2 linked regions of the Drosophila melanogaster genome follow. The protein of the gene in region 2 interacts with the protein of the main gene of each other region in a pairwise test. Each region holds a gene or a part of one and is shown on either strand. Other genes may lie near its edges.

Region 1 (7,881 bases), on a different chromosome or scaffold from region 2:
ATCACCTAACAATCAATAACTATAAAGTTAGTTAGATTAAACCCACCAATGAGCGCCGCCTTCTCCACACTGGAGTGCGCCTGATCGGAGCAGTAGGCCACCAGCCGGGCGTTGATCTCCGCATCCTGATAGCCAGGATGTCGCTCATGGAATCGCTGAATAGCCCGAGTCCGTCCCGCCAGCAGACAAACTAGAGTAGCTTCACTGGCAGTGGTCTGCAGCACTCCACCGCCCTGACTTTGGGAGCTCAGGTGGAGAAAGGCATCCGGCAGACCGATCATCTTGCCCAGCCAGTTCATCACTATGATCTCCAGCTCGGTGCAGGCCGGCGAGCTCGCCCAGGTGAATCCCAGGCAGTTAATCGCATCCGCCAGCATGTCGCCCAGTAGGGAAGGCATGGAGTTGAGGGCCGGAAAGTAGGCGTGCATGTGGGGCGATTGCCAGTGGGTTATGCCCGGCATCACGATTCGCTCCACATCCGAGAATATTTTCGGCCACGGTTCACCTTCGATCGGAGCGGACTCCGGCAGTAACTGGCGCATATAGCCCGGACTGACATCCGGAAAAACTCGGCGTTCCCGGATGTTCTCCAAATAGTCTGCAATATAGTCGACCATCTCCTTGCCTGTAAATAAAATGTACTTTAATACAGTTCAAGCGATTTTGCTTAGTCTTTGTCCCTAATTAATATAGAATATTTTTTAAAATATTTAATTATTTTAATTAGAATAAAAGTACACAATTATTAATGACTAGGAAAGGTGTTAAAGTGTTAATAAAACCAAAAGGGATATAGATGTAATATACTAACAATTCGTAGATTATGTTAACCACGTGTGTGTAATTAACTTACAATTGCAATTATTTAGTTGTTCAGCTAAAGTATCTAATAAATAATTGCCACACGCTTTAAACAAAAGCAGCCATGTAAGCTCGAAAATGTCAATGAAAATTGATTTGAAAATATGATACTGCATTGCTGGGATTTTCTCCGTGTGTGGGATTTCAATTACAGGCCATGGAACGAAGACAAACGGCCGGGACAAATCCGCCTTGGGCCAATCAAATATATTGTATATGGTGGTGACCTTTGGATGGGATTTCCATCCGGTATTTACTTACACGCGTCTGCCGCTGTGCATTTTATGGCCCAGATTTGGACAGTACTCACCCCTTTGGCGGTATTCCTTGAAGTCCATGGTGCAATCGCCTCACTTAACCGATGCTGACGTAAATACTGTGCAATTGTCGCACGCAATCACGGCTTGTAGATGTATCTTCAGGCGTTTCGTTTCGCAATGAGTTTGGCCTAATCCTGTTGGACTCTGGCTAGGCTAGCTCCATTTTTCGGGGACGTATGCCAAATTGAAATGCCGAATTGGGAACGTCAACCGTCTGACCGCTGGTGGGAAATAGTAAAAAAAAAACAACGGAGAACAATATAATGGAATAGAAACTTGTGCACTTCCGATGTTGTGGGGCTTCTGGCGTTCGCTGGAAATGGAAATGACAAGAAAAGCGCTTGGAAAAGCTATGAAAACGCTAACAGCTGTGAAAACACCTAGTTGGTGCACCTCGGGCACTGGAAGGGTTCGAATCCGATGGATGGTTACCTAATTGCGGCCGTGATAATATTTATCCTATAACTAGGGCTTTTGGGATAGCGCCGGGCTTTTATAGACCTGGCCGGAACCAATTAGCTTGTTGGCTGCACTACAAATCCGATCTGGCTGTGGGATGTGTTGGCAAGTTGTTGGAACACACGGAGCTCCCTAATTGGCCATCCCATAGGCAGCACGACATTAGGGGTGTAACCAAGGGGGATGCGCTCGGATTGCCAGCTGATTTCCAACAAAATTCCGTTTAAATTGGAAAGCACCCTCTAATTGTTTATGCTTGCTGACTTGCATTGCTTGATTATATTTTAAATACCGCAAATTAACTATATCTGTAACGATCTGCAGTGTGTGCACCCATACTCCAACTGCATTTTGTCATGCATTTAGAACGATGGAAACATGAACTGAAATTCATCGATCGAAATCGAATTAAATATTTGCCGTTTCACAAATAATGTTGATAGTCATAGAACAGCAACATTGTGGCTTTTTAAGCATTTGTAAATAACGAGGGAATTTAAAAAATATGTTAGCATTCATTAGAAATTATCACAGAAAATTCAAACAACTACAAGATAATCTGGTTACATTTTATATGGCTATTAATCATTTACAGCAGATATTAGTTTTTATTTATATACTTAAAATAATTTTATTATAATAAATATATTGAGATTAAGCTAAACACTTTCTTCAAACACTTATTTAAAAATCTTCTGGACAATAATTATAGTATTTCAAAATTTTTTATATATTTCGGGAATATTTTACTACCAAGTTATATACGCACAATTACAATAGATTTCAATTTGACACGCACAGGACTCGAATCAAAGTCCAACTGAATGGAATCGGACTCAAACAGGACCTATTTATACCCGGATACTGTTTGTTCTCCGATGCAAAAACGAAGGACTATCCAAATGAAATTGCTATTAAACAGCAGGATGGCTATTTTCCTAAAATGGGTGATGACAACAATAAGCTTAGAGCAAAGCGTTTGCATTGGTGCACAACTTTGAATACTCTTCTAGGATGTCTTCCTAAAAGTCTTTACTGTAATGATTATATATTTATTATTTTATAAGTTTTATTATTTCTAATATATATATTATTATATAAGTATATATTTATTTAAAATTCGGGCTTCTTAAAATGAATAACTTTTAAAAATAAATTGATAATTTAATGTAATTTTTCTTATTCATTATGAAATATAGAGGCAATGAGTCACAAAACGTCAAGAGCTTAAAAGTATTACGTGTAGTTATCAACATTTTTATGAATGTGTTATCTTTTTGGTTACGAATACTTCCTTTCAAAGAGAAAGAGCATATAAATCGGCAACAGGCGGTTTAAATACAAAAGGACATTGAGCACGACGCAGGATGAAAGAGAGTGGGAGAGAGAGAGGGGGAAGCAACAGCCAATGGAAAGAGGTGTCCTTCGGTAGGGAAACAAATCCACTGACCAATCGGATTGCAGTAGACGCAAATGGCATCAACAGGCTGCCAGCTAAATACGTCCCTCATTTTCTAAGTTGTGTGGGCTTACTGATAAATACCCCATCTGGCCAGATTTAAACGAAATTCCCCAGGGAAAACGAAGAATATGAAGAGTCGCACAGGAAGGCATAAAAGCCGAAAATGTTCGAATCTTATGTTGGCTGGAAGCCCGTCTTAAAACGCCAAAAAATATCAGAAACAGCAAATCAGTCCCCCCTCCCCGCTCATTACACACTTGTTACAAGGGAATGGGGCAGAAGGCACAAGAGAGAAGAAAGAAAGAGGGAGAGCATGAGGTCAATGAGCTTTGTACTCGTCTCGAGACTCAGGAAATTTCGACAAAATACCGCTACATTGAATGGCTTTTGCACGTCGAATGCACATGTATCTGTAGTTGTATCTATATCTGTATCCATGAGTGTGTATTACCAAATATTGAGCAATAAGAATAAGAATTTCGGTTTCTTTTGGTCATGAGACAGACAGTTACAATGCGGCTTTTGTTCCGCTCTCTCCCTTTTTGTTCTTTTAAATCTGCGGCTAAAAATACACAATTTGTGAGCTTTTTCATTTAGCTGTGGGCAACAGATAAATTCGTTTCAAAAGTGCATGTGCATACAAAAACACAATAAAAGATACTGTCTTCTTTCTCTTCGTATTCGGATTGGCTCTCTTGGTTTTGGTTGCAGCGCTTACCTGTCGCGCTCTTAAGTCGATCGCTTGGCTTTCTCTCTCTTTGTGCTTTCTTTACTCTCTCTCAGCACCTCTCTCGCTCTCTTTTCTTCGCTCTGTATTTTTTGGTGTGTTTTGATTCCTTCATTCTTGAGCGCTAAGAACGTTCGTTGACCTCGGAAAGTTGGGGCCTCTGCTTAGCGGTACTTCTCAACCTGTTTTTCCCCTCTTACGCCTTTCCCCTTTTCATCCCACAGCGCGAGTGTGTGTGCGAGTGGGCATGTGTGTGTGTTTGCCGTAGAAGTCTTCCTGTTTGCTCAGCGATTAAAGGTGCAACTGAGCGCGCTGCGATCCGATGACGGGCCCCAAAGATACACAGATACTTGCCGAGCAACGTCACGGGCTTCGGTCCCCAACTCTTCGTACCGAGCACTACGTGTATCATTGGGAATAACAGTCAGACTCTCGGACTTTCGGACATCCCATCTCTGATGAAATGCACGCTTGACTCCGCTGGCATGTGTATTTGTTACCAGCCCATACAGGCCAACTTCCATAAATCGATATTTTAGTATAGTATTTTATATCTTCTCTTCTCATGCTGTAGGGGTTTTAAAACTTTGTTATTTTTAAAAGATACCATGGAAAATTTTATTCAAAGAAAAGCTAATCGGTTTTTCTATAAGCCTATTTAAACTTCACATGCAAATATATCATTATTTTGACGAATTTTAAAAATGATTAAATGTCAGAAATCTTTTTTTGCTTTGGTGTACTTTTTATTGAATGACTTCTATAAAATCCTTTGTAGGAAGGCGGGACTGTAGCTTTTCGGTTGCTGCGCGATTATTTTTGGGCAGTGATCACGCATTTAATTAGCAGGAATTGTGGTGAGCGCCCCTTCTGCAGGTGTGTTGGTGAGCGCGTGCGTGTGTGAGGTGGGAACATCTTGCAGCTCCTTTCTCCTTTCTCGGCTGAGCTTCTGTTTCTGTTTCTTTTTGGAGCTTGCTTGGTTTCCCACTCGCCTCCGCACACAGGTTCCCGCCAGAGGATGATGATTCCACCGCCGATGCAGAGGATGATGACCACGATGATGAGCGCGATCATGATCATCGGATGCAACGGGTCTTTGACTCGGTCTCTGGCCATTTAGTGTGCAATCGTTTGTCCCCACGTCCAGTCCAGTCCACTCGGATTCCGGGCTCTCTCATCGGATCGCTACCAGTCCCGATTACGCTTGCTCTCCTTTCTGATCCGTTCCACTCCGCCGGCTTCATCATCGCCTTCGCCGGCTAACTTCGCCGTTTGAAAACTATTTGATCCGAGAACAATACTGGGACTCGAACTAATTCGCCGATTTTACGATCGCTATTATGATCTCATGGCCGGGAGATGAGTTCAAGGCCTTGACACTGATCTGATCCGATTTGGGTGTCTGAACGAAAGTCCATGTCCATTGATGAGATTGCTTAACCCGGATAACATGCCCAGCACCATCAGAGGTTAGTGAGAATGGGGAGTACTAAACATAAGACCACGAGTAGCTATGATATTCCTAAAATATTAAGCTTTATTAACTATTGGATATATTTAAGTTCTTACAATAAATCGATTTATGTCTAGATGATTTTATAATTAAGGAATGGAATACATAATACTTTTGAAAAGGATCAAATTTTAACAAAGAGGGAATTAAAAAAATAATTTTATATAGAATATAACTTGAATAGGGTCTTAATTCTCTTTAGAACCAAACACGATGACAAATAATTCCATAAATTGTTTTCAAGCATTGTAATAGATTTGCTAAAGGTCTTATGAGTTTGCTAGTTTTGAAACAGAGTTTCTCTGGTAATCAAAATAGTTGGTTGGTGATATTTCGCCTCAAAAATCAGCCTTGCCTGGCTATAGGCGACTATTGGAATCATTAGGCTGGCGAAAAGTTAAAAAAAAAAACCTAATTGATTATAAAAGGCAACGGCTTTCAATAGCCGCAAACAAATGGATGGGATATGCAGTCAAGCTGCAAGACATGCAATGCAGCACCTCCGCCAGTCTCGCCGTTGGATTTCCGATTCTAGCCAAAAGATTTTACCACATCTTCAAGGCAGAACAACAGTAATGGCCCGGCCAACTGTTGCCTCATCGACAGTGGGGCTGCAATAAACCAGTTGGAAGTCGCAGCTAATCTTGCAACACAGTTGCGCAACAAAGAATCCGAGGCAACGGTACTAACGTGTTTGCTGTTTCTGCTGCTATTGTGGCTATACGCTGGCTTCTTTTTGATTCTGTTCTGTTCTTTGCTTTTCTCCGTCTCCATTTTCTTGGCAATCAGCTCTCTGAGCCAGTTGCGTGTAACAGGTTTTTCCTCTTGAATAACTGGGACTTTCTTACGGGACTTTTTCGGAGAGTTTCTGCAGAGAAAACAGGTTAGAATCGGCACAGACTTGCAATAGATGATGAGGCAACAGCCGCCGCAAGAAGTTTACAACGGTGAGGCACACATTTCGCGTTCACGTTAGAACCAACGGTGTTTTAGCCAAGTTTAGCTGCAAGCTGCTAGTAAGCTGGTTGGCAGAACCACCAACCAGTTACCAGTTACCAGTTAGCTCTTGATTGTTGTTGCGCAAGCGGCAGCTGAATGCGGCGCAGAATAAATCTAACATGATTTAAGCAACGGAAAAACATGAAATATTAATGCCGATGCTTGAGTCTTGGCTCCGAATCAGAATCCGAATCCGTCCTAACGGTGGTCGCTCCGTTCGCCATCATCGACCCTCCTCTATAAGAAGTTTGGCCCTATGCCACCCAATTCCCCCACTCCCCTCCCCGCCCTAATGATGGCTCGATCCGATCGGTTGGGCTGGGGCCCAGTTGGGCGATTAGTTCAAATTTGCCCCGTCTGTTGGCCAATGGCCGAGATGTTCTCGGTTCGCCCCTTTTTTTGGGCATTCTTGACTCGAGGGTCATTGTGGTCATAGCTGTTCTTTGATTGGTTTTTGCCCAAATTGGCATTGGCAGCTTTAATTAGCGAGCTTAACATTTTAGTGCATTCTTGTAGTTTTGAGAGCACTAAAAATGCGCATTTTATGACTCATTTAAAAATATATATGTGCCAATGTTCATACTATTTATGACACTTTAAAGCTTTTTATATACATACTATATAATTATAAATACATGTATATTATCTTTACACAGCTTGTAGTAGACAAGACTTCGTATATATAATGACTTACTACTGCATCTATAGTTTATCCGTGTTCTACAAATTTGGTTTATAAACGAGGGGTTAACCATGAATTACATATCTTATGCACTATTTAAATGCATAACAAAAGAAAATATTTGTTTACCAAATATGTTTCTTTTTAAACATGTATATATAAAAATATATATCATAGTTGATTTTTTATTAACTAATTTTATGAATTTTTACAAATATTATAAATGGCAGTTTCAGTTGTTAGTTGAGTAAATGTCGAAAGTCAAGCCCAGAAGACTCATTCAAAATTTTCCGCCCTTGGAATTTCCACCTCGAGCGTGCAGAAATTTCCCATGACGCTTTATCACCACGACGGGAATTTTCCTGGCCCTTAGCCCGCCCCCGCCCCCACTGAGAGTTTTAGGGGTGGAAAAGCTGCGCAACAAACGTTCGTTCGACTGTGCTCGTTTTCCTTCGTGTTGTGGCTTCCAGTTTTTCCTGGCTATGCACTTGGCATTATGCCTACTAACCCTATTTTCGCAGCAGTTCGCAGCGAGTCCCATTTTTCAACTTGCATGCGGATACACACGCACACACACACTCGGATTTTCCTTTTCCCAGAAACTGAGGCGCAACCCCCACGAAACGGAAAGTTTGTGCAGCGGCAGAACGAACTGTGTTTGTGGCACTCGAATTTGGGACACATTCCTGTAAAGGACGCAGCTCCGGTCAGCTGCTTCGCAAAATCGACAAAAAGGAGTCACAAAAAAACGCGCGCGGTGCATTTAGCCACAAATCTCTGAAAGTGAAAATACAAATATTGAAACAGTGAAATCCACAAACCAGCCAAAAGTGAAACAAAATTGAACACAGTGCTTAA
Region 2 (9,760 bases):
CTTAAAAGTATGCGGCTCTCTTGAGCCGTACTTCAGTACGCTGACGTCGACTGAAGAATCGCTTTGTTCTGCGCTCTCAAATATATTTAATTTGGATTTGGAACTGGATTTATGTCAACATGCAATTTCTGCAGTGGATTTTTACACTATGGCTAATTGCTGGTTGCTCCGCTGGCCCGCAGAATGTCCTGCTGCTTCTGGCTGACGATGCCGGCTTCGAATCGGGCGCCTATCTGAACAAATTCTGCCAAACTCCCAATCTGGACGCACTGGCAAAACGCGGATTGCTTTTCAACAACGCCTTCACCTCGGTAAGCAGTTGCAGTCCCAGTCGCTCGCAGTTGCTCACCGGCCAGGCTGGTCACTCCAGCGGAATGTATGGACTCCATCAGGGCGTGCACAACTTCAATGTTCTTCCGGATACCGGATCGCTGCCCAATTTAATCCGTGATCAAAGTGGCGGACGGATCTTGAGCGGCATCATTGGCAAGAAACATGTTGGGGCCGCCAACAATTTCCGTTTCGATTTCGAGCAAACAGAGGAGCAGCATTCCATCAACCAGATTGGCAGAAACATCACCCGGATGAAGGAGTATGCCAGGCAGTTTCTCAAGCAGGCCAAGGACGAAAAGAAACCCTTCTTCCTGATGGTCGGCTTCCATGATCCCCATCGTTGTGGCCACATCACCCCGCAGTTTGGAGAATTCTGTGAGCGTTGGGGCAGCGGAGAGGAGGGAATGGGCAGCATACCCGACTGGAAGCCCATCTACTACGATTGGCGTAACCTGGACGTGCCCGCCTGGCTGCCCGACACGGATGTAGTGCGTCAGGAGCTGGCTGCTCAGTACATGACCATCTCGAGGTTGGATCAGGGAGTTGGTCTAATGCTGAAGGAGCTAGAAGCAGCCGGCGTGGCAGATCAGACACTCGTGATCTACACCTCCGACAATGGACCACCGTTTCCCGGAGGCAGAACCAATCTCTACGAGCACGGCATACGATCGCCCCTGATCATTAGCTCTCCCAATAAGGAGGATCGTCATCATGAAGCCACTGCTGCCATGGTCAGTCTTTTGGATATATACCCCAGTGTAATGGATGCTCTTCAGATTCCCCGACCGAATGACACCAAAATCGTTGGCAGATCGATACTCCCAGTACTGCGGGAGGAACCTCCGATCAAGGAGAGCGATTCGGTGTTCGGTAGTCACAGTTACCACGAGGTGACCATGGCCTATCCCATGAGAATGGTGCGCAATAGGCGCTACAAGCTTATCCATAATATCAACTACTGGGCAGACTTCCCCATCGACCAGGACTTTTACACTTCACCCACATTCCAGCAGATATTGAATGCCACTCTCAGGAAGCAAACTCTGCCATGGTATCGTTCCTTGTTGCAGTACTACCAGCGACCCGAATGGGAGCTGTACGACATTAAGACGGATCCCTTGGAGCGTTTCAATCTGGCCGATAAGGCCAAGTACAATGGCACCCTGAAGCAGTTACGCGAGCAACTGTTCGACTGGCAGGTAGCCACCAAGGATCCCTGGCGATGTGCTCCGCACGCTGTGCTCCAGGAGCAGGGCGTCTACAAGGATCAGCCCGTCTGTCTGACCTTGGGCCACGAGGCGTTGCAGCGGCCCAAGCGCAGGATTCTCGGTCAGTATGAGGAGTATGTGGTCTTCTCGTAGGTCTGACTAAGAGTATTCAATAGATTGGGTGTGTTGTCTTATCGCATGTCCAATGGTTGATAACTCAACCATGCCAATGTTTTTCACTTCACATGCCGTTACAGTTGCGGTCATACAAATAGGAATTGCAAAAGGTAGAAATGATAATATTATATTAATGTATATTCTTATTAAAATAATAAAAAAAAAGTAACATACAATACTTTCAATAATAAACTTTGTTTAACTTTGAAGCGAGCTGCTAATCTTTAAGCATGGCTAATAAAAAGATCAATGTTTTCAAAAGCAATGGTAATCATAAGAATTAAGCATTTGTTTAGAGTATGTACATATGTATGTTCTTTGAACAAATTTCCAAGTTTACATTAAGGGAAAACTTTAATTGCTTTTTACAAACAAACAGATAAAAATATATTGCCTTGATTTTCACCTGCGCAATGCCAAAAAAATAGCCAACAGAATTGGCAAAGAAAGAAGACTGAAGATTCCCCCACTGACTGAATTGGTTGCATCAGCCCAGACTGGCAAACACTCGTGTCCTGGCAGCATGACCTCACCCACTTTTTGGACTGGAGGCGTGGGCATCAGGGGTTGGATGCTGCGTCACGTTTCAATGTCATGCCCACTGGGTCAGTGGGATAGGGGAGGGGAGGGTGTGCTGGCGGCTGCCTGTGTCTGTGTGTGGAAAATCGAAAATTTCAATGCTTCTGTTGTAGTTTATTGGTGGCGCCTCCGGATTCCCACATCGCCCACCACCACCCATTCCCAGCAGCATTCGAGTCTCTGTGTTACACAACAGGCAGCACGTTTTATGGTTTTAAGGTCAGATGGGAAATATCAAAGAGTAAACGACGTTTGCTTGTTTTTTTTTTTGTTGTTTCTCAGTTATGACTTTGAACGAAAGACACATTAAAAATTAAATTTTATTAATTTTGGTTTGCATAAATTAGGGTCTTCAGTTTTAGCATAGTTATTATTATTATGTATATGCCTTGTAATATATATTATTCAAGTTACCGCCCACACAAAAATGCAAAATTACAATAATTATTGTTTGAAGTTCGGGCCCCGCTGCACGTGGGGCAAGTGTGTATCGCGTGGAAAGATAGTCTCCAGGCGATGGGTGGATCCTCCCCAGATGGGGTATCCTCTGGAAATGTTCGCACTGGCAGTCTGTCCGTCCACGAGGCAAATGTTTCATCTTCGCACTCGAATATATAATTCTGTTAAATGTTTTCTTGGCATTTAACAAATTTATTATCAACACAAGTTGCATGGCTTTCAATTCAATGGTTTTCTTCATACGTAAATATATATGTATCTTGTGTATATCATTCCTAAACGTACGAGTATATATATGTATATACATTCGTATGTATATCGTGCATAGCTGTATGCCAACATGAGACTATTTTGAATCATTTTATCGGTTTGCCGTCGAATGTTTATTATTATCTCGTTAAATATATAAATATTTGATCTAGAGTTGCGGTTGGTAAACGCGTTAGTAGGTTCGTAAGTGTTGCTATGCTTCGATTGACTTGACTGGATTTTGCTTACGTTTAAAGTTATTATTATCAACATTTTTGTGGAAATCGTTTAACTAGTATTATGCTTGTTGGTTGGTATTGTTTAGGAGGATTCTGTTACATTTACTTGCCGCTAGTACTTTTTATCTGTTATCATCGTTTAAATATTCATTATATTGTTTACGTTGCTGCTCAGTATAATTTATAATAAATACATAATAATAAATATACATGTAGATAATACGCTTAATAAATATATTTATACATATATTTGATTTCATTTAATATATATATATATAGTTGTTATGTATATAATTAACAAACAAAAAAAACAACACACATAAAAAGGAGCAAAAAGTAGGATACAAATTTCGCTTGTTTCATCCTCGAAAAATTGAATTGAATTATTCTTTACATTGAACAACGAACATCAAGAACGGTATTCCGTATGCCTTTTAGAATAGAGTGTGGGGAGTATTGTTTTTGCACAAATATACGTAGGTAGAGTAGGTATATGTAGGTATTTTCGGGTATATAATAAATATGTATATGCATGTGGGCGGGCGTATGGTGTGGATACGTAGCTTTAGCCTATAAAGGGACATTTGCATAGAGAGCGCATTGGCGTAGGTTGGTTTAAATTACAACGATGAGACCGGATAAAAAGACCTCCGAAAACTGGAGGCTAGAAGAACTCAGGTGGAAAGACAAAAGAGACGCGCCTCCATGGGCGTGATTAAGATTACACGGGTAATTTAGTTAATTAGCTAGAGTGTTTTTCTGTTTGCTTCTGCCGCCGGACCAACTGTTCTAATACGTGATCGATCTATTGTGTGAAGTAGTACTAAATGTTCGCAACTTGCAACGAACAACAAAGCTGACGTTTGAGAATCAAAGGTAAAAACGCAAGGAAGTGGCATTGCGCGCGTAACGTCTTGTAAATTTAGTTAGTTAATACGTACATTAATTTAACTCGTAGTTAATTTGTTAATTATTGTGTTGCCAACTGGTATAATTTTGCACATAAAATTTAGTTAGCTTGCTCTATGGCCACCATGAATTTAGCCTGCTGTGTGCTGCTAGCTAAGCCGTATCGTAATATCCGTAATCGTAGTAACCCGCTCATCTAATTCAACTATATATATATATTTGCATTTATGTGCTGCTGCTGCTGCTTCTGCTGCTCCTGCTTCTGCATCGGCTTGGGCTGCCCAATTTCGCGCCTCTGGTGGCGAAACCAACAATTAAGGTTATTGTTCTCCAATCAGCGATCTACGTACGTCTTCAGCCAGTTTGATAGGATGGGATTGGTTTAGGGATCGGGATTAATACGAGGAACAGGATGAGGAATAGCCTAGTTGCCATTGGGCAGGGGCACCTGCACCTGAACATACGACTGCGGGAAGTAACCGGTGCGGCCATTCACCGCGCCCTCGAACCAATTGTCGTCGACGCGATTCAACAGGGTGATAATGTCGTTCTCCTTGAAGGCCAGTTCGCCGGGATTCTCCGGCTCGAAGTCGTAGAGGGCCTGGCAGCAGGGCTGCTGCTGGCGCTGCGGCGTTACGGCCATCGACTTGGCGGGCGAACGCATCGGCGAGGGCAACGGCGAGGCGCTCGAACTAATGTGAGACGGCGTGCCATCTTCGTTGAGGCCGCCGCCACCGCCGTCCAAGTTCAGATCGAGCAGCGTCTTGGGCACGAACTCGTTGCGTGGCCGGCTCTCCGCCTCGGAGCGCTTCTCCTGCAGTGTCTCCTGCAGGCCTCGAAGGACATCCGCGCATTGCGAATGAAAATCGTATAGTGCCTCGGCAAAGGTGACCAGCTGGGAGACATGCTCCGTATCGTTCTCGAGCAAATTGAACATGCCCACCTGGGCCAGCTGGAGCGATTCACCGAACTTGTCCTCGGCACCACGAATCTCATCGTCCTTGGCCTGTCGGCGACGCTTGCAGTCAAAGTCTAGCCGCCGGCCCTGCAGCTTCTTGCGATGATGCATTACCTCCTTGAGGTCTTTGGTCTGCATATGATGCAGTGGCTCCAAAAAGTTCTGCTTGATGTTGTCGTCCAGCGAATACTTGACGTCGGCCATCTGTTTCAGCGCTTCGCCGAATTCGACGAGCGCCTGCGCGAACACGCTGTTGTCCTCGCCGAGCTTCTTCCCATAAGTCAGCATGCATTCCGCGAGCAGGCCCTCCGGTTGCGGATACGTATTGGACTTGGCCTGTCCGGACAGCTTCGAGATGCCCTTGACCGCTGCCATTTTGGCCCGTGCCGTTGGATTCGGCTGCAGGAACTCCTTCGTCTTTAGCTGCAGCTCCTCCACTAGCTCCACGGTGACGTCCGTCTTGCGTTCCATCTCCATGAAGTCCATGTCCAGTTTGGTGCCCTCGGCACCGCCCATCTTCTCCGTCATATACTGGTTGGCCTTGTTGATCTGCTTTTTGAGTCCGGCGAAAGCCATGGCTGCTGCTGTCTCTTCTGGTTTTCTTCCTCTGATTAAATTGGTCTTGGGGCGCTCGACGCAGTTGCTGTGAACGGGTTGGTTGGGTTAGTCGAGACTCGATTTCAAATTCAATGTCAATATCATCAAGTCAACAATTTCATCAATGGACTGGATGGCTGCCTCACTGACTGCCCGACTGCCTGGCTGGCTGGCTGGCTGGCTGAGTGTGTCTATTTTTAAAACGTTTACGTTTGGAAGACTTACGCGTACTGCACTTTTCTCCGTTCCTTCTCCGCTGGGGGTGCTACTTTCCGGGGCTCTTCTGCTCGCTCAGTGGAGGCTGCGAGTCGGGAAACTCGAATTGGCTTGGTGAACTGTAGCCCGAGTTCGAGTTCTACTTTTGCTGACCACTACTGCGGGCACTTTCACTCGCTTCGCTTGCTCTGCACGTTCTGCCCCGTTTTTTTTTTTGTTGCTCTGCTCGTAATCTTCGATTTTTTCCAGAACCTTGGGCTGCGTAATGTTTGAAGGACCGTGAGTCGTTACTACTACTACTGGTCGCGCACAGGGGGCGGGGGCTGTGGGGTCGCGTTTTCCTCTCGGCTCGCAAAAATCAATATCTTGACTGTGTACAACAATTTTCAACGGCACTAAGCCACTGGAGCTGCGGGACTATCGATAATTCTGTTAAAAAACATTCAGTGTGACCGGTGGTTCGTAAAATACCAAAATCATTCGCATACAACAACGGACATACACGGGATACGCTCATCTCTAGGCATATGTTAAAGATGTGAGGTACAACTTAACATTTTCATTTAATTTCTTTGCAGGGGGGTATTAGATAGTTATATATATATATCAAAACAATATTAAAAATTAAAGTAATATATATATTTTATATTAAGAAGCCAGAAGCACATAAACAGTTAACATAATATCTTACATTTAATATCTAATACTTATAATGTTAATGCATTATAAATTTGAATTTGAAATCTATGTTGATTGGCAGAATTATTAGACTAGAATAAATATGGTCGGTCCCACTGTCGGTCTCTGTATTTGCTCTGTCCTTGTACATGCTGTTAATCGAATAGCTGTTAGATTAGAATAACAGTTTGGCGCGTAAAATTCTAACATTACAATACATAAATATATTATATTGATAGAAAACGTACTCAGCAAAAATAAAGCTGTATAACTGCTGATGAATGTTACGCTAAGATAAAAATGGAATGACTCAGAATGGATAAGAAAATATCATGTTTATCCTGTTTACCAAAATAACTGTGCGCAAAATAACCAGTAGCACAGCAGTCAATTTTATCTTTCTAGAAGGTGGCAAATATATCCCAGGCAAAAATTAAACCCCATTTGCATCGTAAAAACCAGTGACGTTCACAGCATGAAGTAGCAATTTTACCACCTTTTTTTTTTTTATATATTCTGGCTCTATCTGAACAGATAACCCCCGAGAGGTACTTAGCACCACCGAACAAACAATGAACATGTAAATCAGTTCAATCGCAGTAGTAATAGTTGAGATATCAGAGATAAGATCTCCCTGCCGTGTTTTTAATGGCGTATAAAAGCCGCAAGCCGTTGTGCTTTTGGCAATTAGTCTAGACGAAACCCAACGACTGAGAACCAAGTGAACTCAGATAAATTAAAAGAAATGAAATTCGCAATTGTTCTACTGGCGGCCAGCATTGCCTGCATCAGTGCACAGGTGAGGAGTTGTGGATATGGGCCCCCCCATTAAGTGGATTATTATGTAACCGAATTATCATAATTTACTCGTAAGGGCCCTGGAGCTACTGTTGGAAATCCCCTTGCCGGAAATCCCTTTGCCGCCGCCAATCCGTATGCGGCTGCCTTTAATCCCTTCCTAAATGGAATTTTCGGAGGTGCTGGCACAGGAGCTGCCGCCGGTGTAGCCGCTCCCGTGGCACCGTCTGCTCCCTTTGGAGGCGCCTCGATTTCCTCATTCTTCCAGTCGATAGTCCTGCAACGCGAAGCCGAGCGTCTGCTCTCCCAGCCTGACTTTCCCGCCGACCTGGCGGAGCGCGTCCTGGATGTGGTGGCCACCTCGGAGGAGTCGATCAGTGGCTGCAACAACGCCACTTTGCCCTGGCTGCAGATACGCTGTGTCAAGCCTCTGCTGACCACGGCCAAGAACCAGCTGAAGGCCATCGATGACGAGTGGCAGGCCCGTTTGGCCGCCACCGCCAGTCCCACAGGAGCAGCTGCTGCCTAGGATTCTAGTCCTGTCCTCCGGCTGCCTTAGTGTCCAATACTTCCTAGCTTAGCAATCGACCAACATAGATGCAATAAAATTTAAATAAGCCTAATGCCGGAATTTCCTATGCTGGTTTAAGGGGTGCAAAGGTGTGTGTGTGTGTGTGTGTGGTAAGGGGGGGAGGGGGGGGGAGGCCAAAGGACTCCTGACCTAGGACATGCTTTGATGTGGCCGGCCGAGCTTTGCATTCCGCTGCTTTATTAAATTTCCCATCGGGAATTACAAATTTTGGCGTTTGCCTTCTTGACGCTTTTCGGGGCGCAAATACTTGGCTGCTCACGTCACCGTCACGAAAATCCTGGTTCGACCTCGACTAAAAGGATGCTTATGCTTTGGAAAGTTAGTGTTGTCATTATGGGGGAAATATGCTAACTTAAGTTCTAAGCAAATAATTTTTATAAATTAATAGTTTTAATATGCTAACTTGCAGGATTAAAAAAGTTACTATAGCTTAGCTTTAAGTAGCTTAATCCAATAATACCAAAATTAAGCTAAATCGTAATATTTCATTAAAAAATATATGCAACTGAAGTGACTTAATTTTCAGTGAAATATATAATGGCCAAGTCGTCATCACTTCGACGCACACTTGAATCGTTTTGGCCATCGCATGGAACTTGACGCATTTTGGTCAAATATTTGTACTGAGTTCCTCTGCTTTGTTTCCCTGACCTCCCTGGCCCAGCTCATTTTGCGGGGTTATGACAGCCCTTTTATGCACTTTTCCATTGGCGCCATCAATTGTTTCCAGTGCATGATTTGCTTCTCAATTGGAGCCCTTTGAGTTGAGGGTCGGGAGTCAGCTCGCTTGAGTTGCGTCCAGTTGCGGCGGCAATGTTGATTTATGTGCCAGTGCAGCTCCAATTATCCAATGTCCTCACTCAAATTGCCGGCCATCCTGCCCTTCGATTCGATGTGAATCGAATCGATTCGATTTGATATGGCTTTTGGATTTGCATTTCAATTCGAATTCCGGGCTTAGGACCTGTGGTTATTAAATGGCTTGGCTTAACGAGCCAAGGACCGGCCACAAATGACCAAATGACCAAATGACGAAGGGGCCATTGGATGTTGGATAAGCCACGAACAATGCCTAAATGGGGGCGAGTTTGAATTCAGATTGAAATATTTAATTAAATGTAAATTTCCAACATACACAACATCCGCCGCTTCACAAGATGGGGAGTGCAAAAGTTTTGGGCCAATTAATAAAAGTATTTCGGTATTGAAATTCGAGTTTGTTCGTCGTCATTACAACAATGCGGGCCAAACTTGGCCAACTTTGGTGTAGTGTTAGCCGCGAACTGATCGACCAACCCTCCGTAACTAAACCTCAACCGAATGAACCGCCTTAAGCTCTGTTTTGGTAATGCAAAAGTTGCGGCATTTGAAATTCAGGCAGCAGCAGCAAAACAAAAAATGGTAATTTCGAGCACAGAATGAAATCCAGCCGCAACTGCCCAACTAAGAGTATATATAAATCCGAAATTGGTTAGAGGAAAAAATTAAAAAACAAAAAAAAAAGAAATAAAAGCAAAATGCGACACATACGAAGGGATTCTACGGAAAGTGCATGTATGGAAATTTGTTTTCGGTTTGCGGCTTTTTTTGTTTTGATGCAAAAGTTGTGTGTGCCCCCCAAAGTAGGCAACAAAATTTCTGCGGCTTTGGACTGTGTCAAAGTTCGTTAGTTCGTTTGTTATTCGACGATATTGTGGGTCGCAAAAATTAGTGCAAAAACTAAATCCGTTCACGACCAAAGTTCCAATCCAATAGTGAATCATCCCAC

Evidence for each region. The genes of interacting proteins can lie anywhere in the genome.
Region 1: the proteins of EndoA (region 2) and Hdc interact in a two-hybrid assay, tested with the Drosophila melanogaster proteins (one large-scale study listed by BioGRID).

What each region holds. Positions count from the first base shown.
Region 1 is NT_033778.4:10,234,415-10,242,295, reverse strand, and holds the start of Hdc (histidine decarboxylase), read right to left. Parts: upstream 4,309-7,881; 5' UTR 3,821-4,308; intron 2,465-3,820; exon of another isoform or gene 2,410-2,464; intron 1,428-2,409; exon of another isoform or gene 1,403-1,427; 5' UTR 1,200-1,402; coding exon 1,172-1,199; intron 626-1,171; coding exon 47-625; intron 1-46. UniProt on the Drosophila melanogaster protein: Required in photoreceptor transmitter synthesis. Catlayzes the conversion of L-histidine to histamine.
Region 2 is NT_033777.3:18,903,194-18,912,953, reverse strand, and holds EndoA (endophilin A), read right to left. Parts: upstream 6,346-9,760; 5' UTR 5,934-6,345; exon of another isoform or gene 5,755-5,933; 5' UTR 5,688-5,754; coding exon 4,578-5,687; 3' UTR 4,504-4,577; exon of another isoform or gene 4,449-4,503; 3' UTR 2,199-4,448; downstream 1-2,198. Other genes in the region: Sgsh (N-sulfoglucosamine sulfohydrolase), read left to right, coding at 120-1,694; CG14292 (uncharacterized protein), read left to right, coding at 7,348-7,401, 7,477-7,929. UniProt on the Drosophila melanogaster protein: Required presynaptically at the neuromuscular junction. Implicated in synaptic vesicle endocytosis.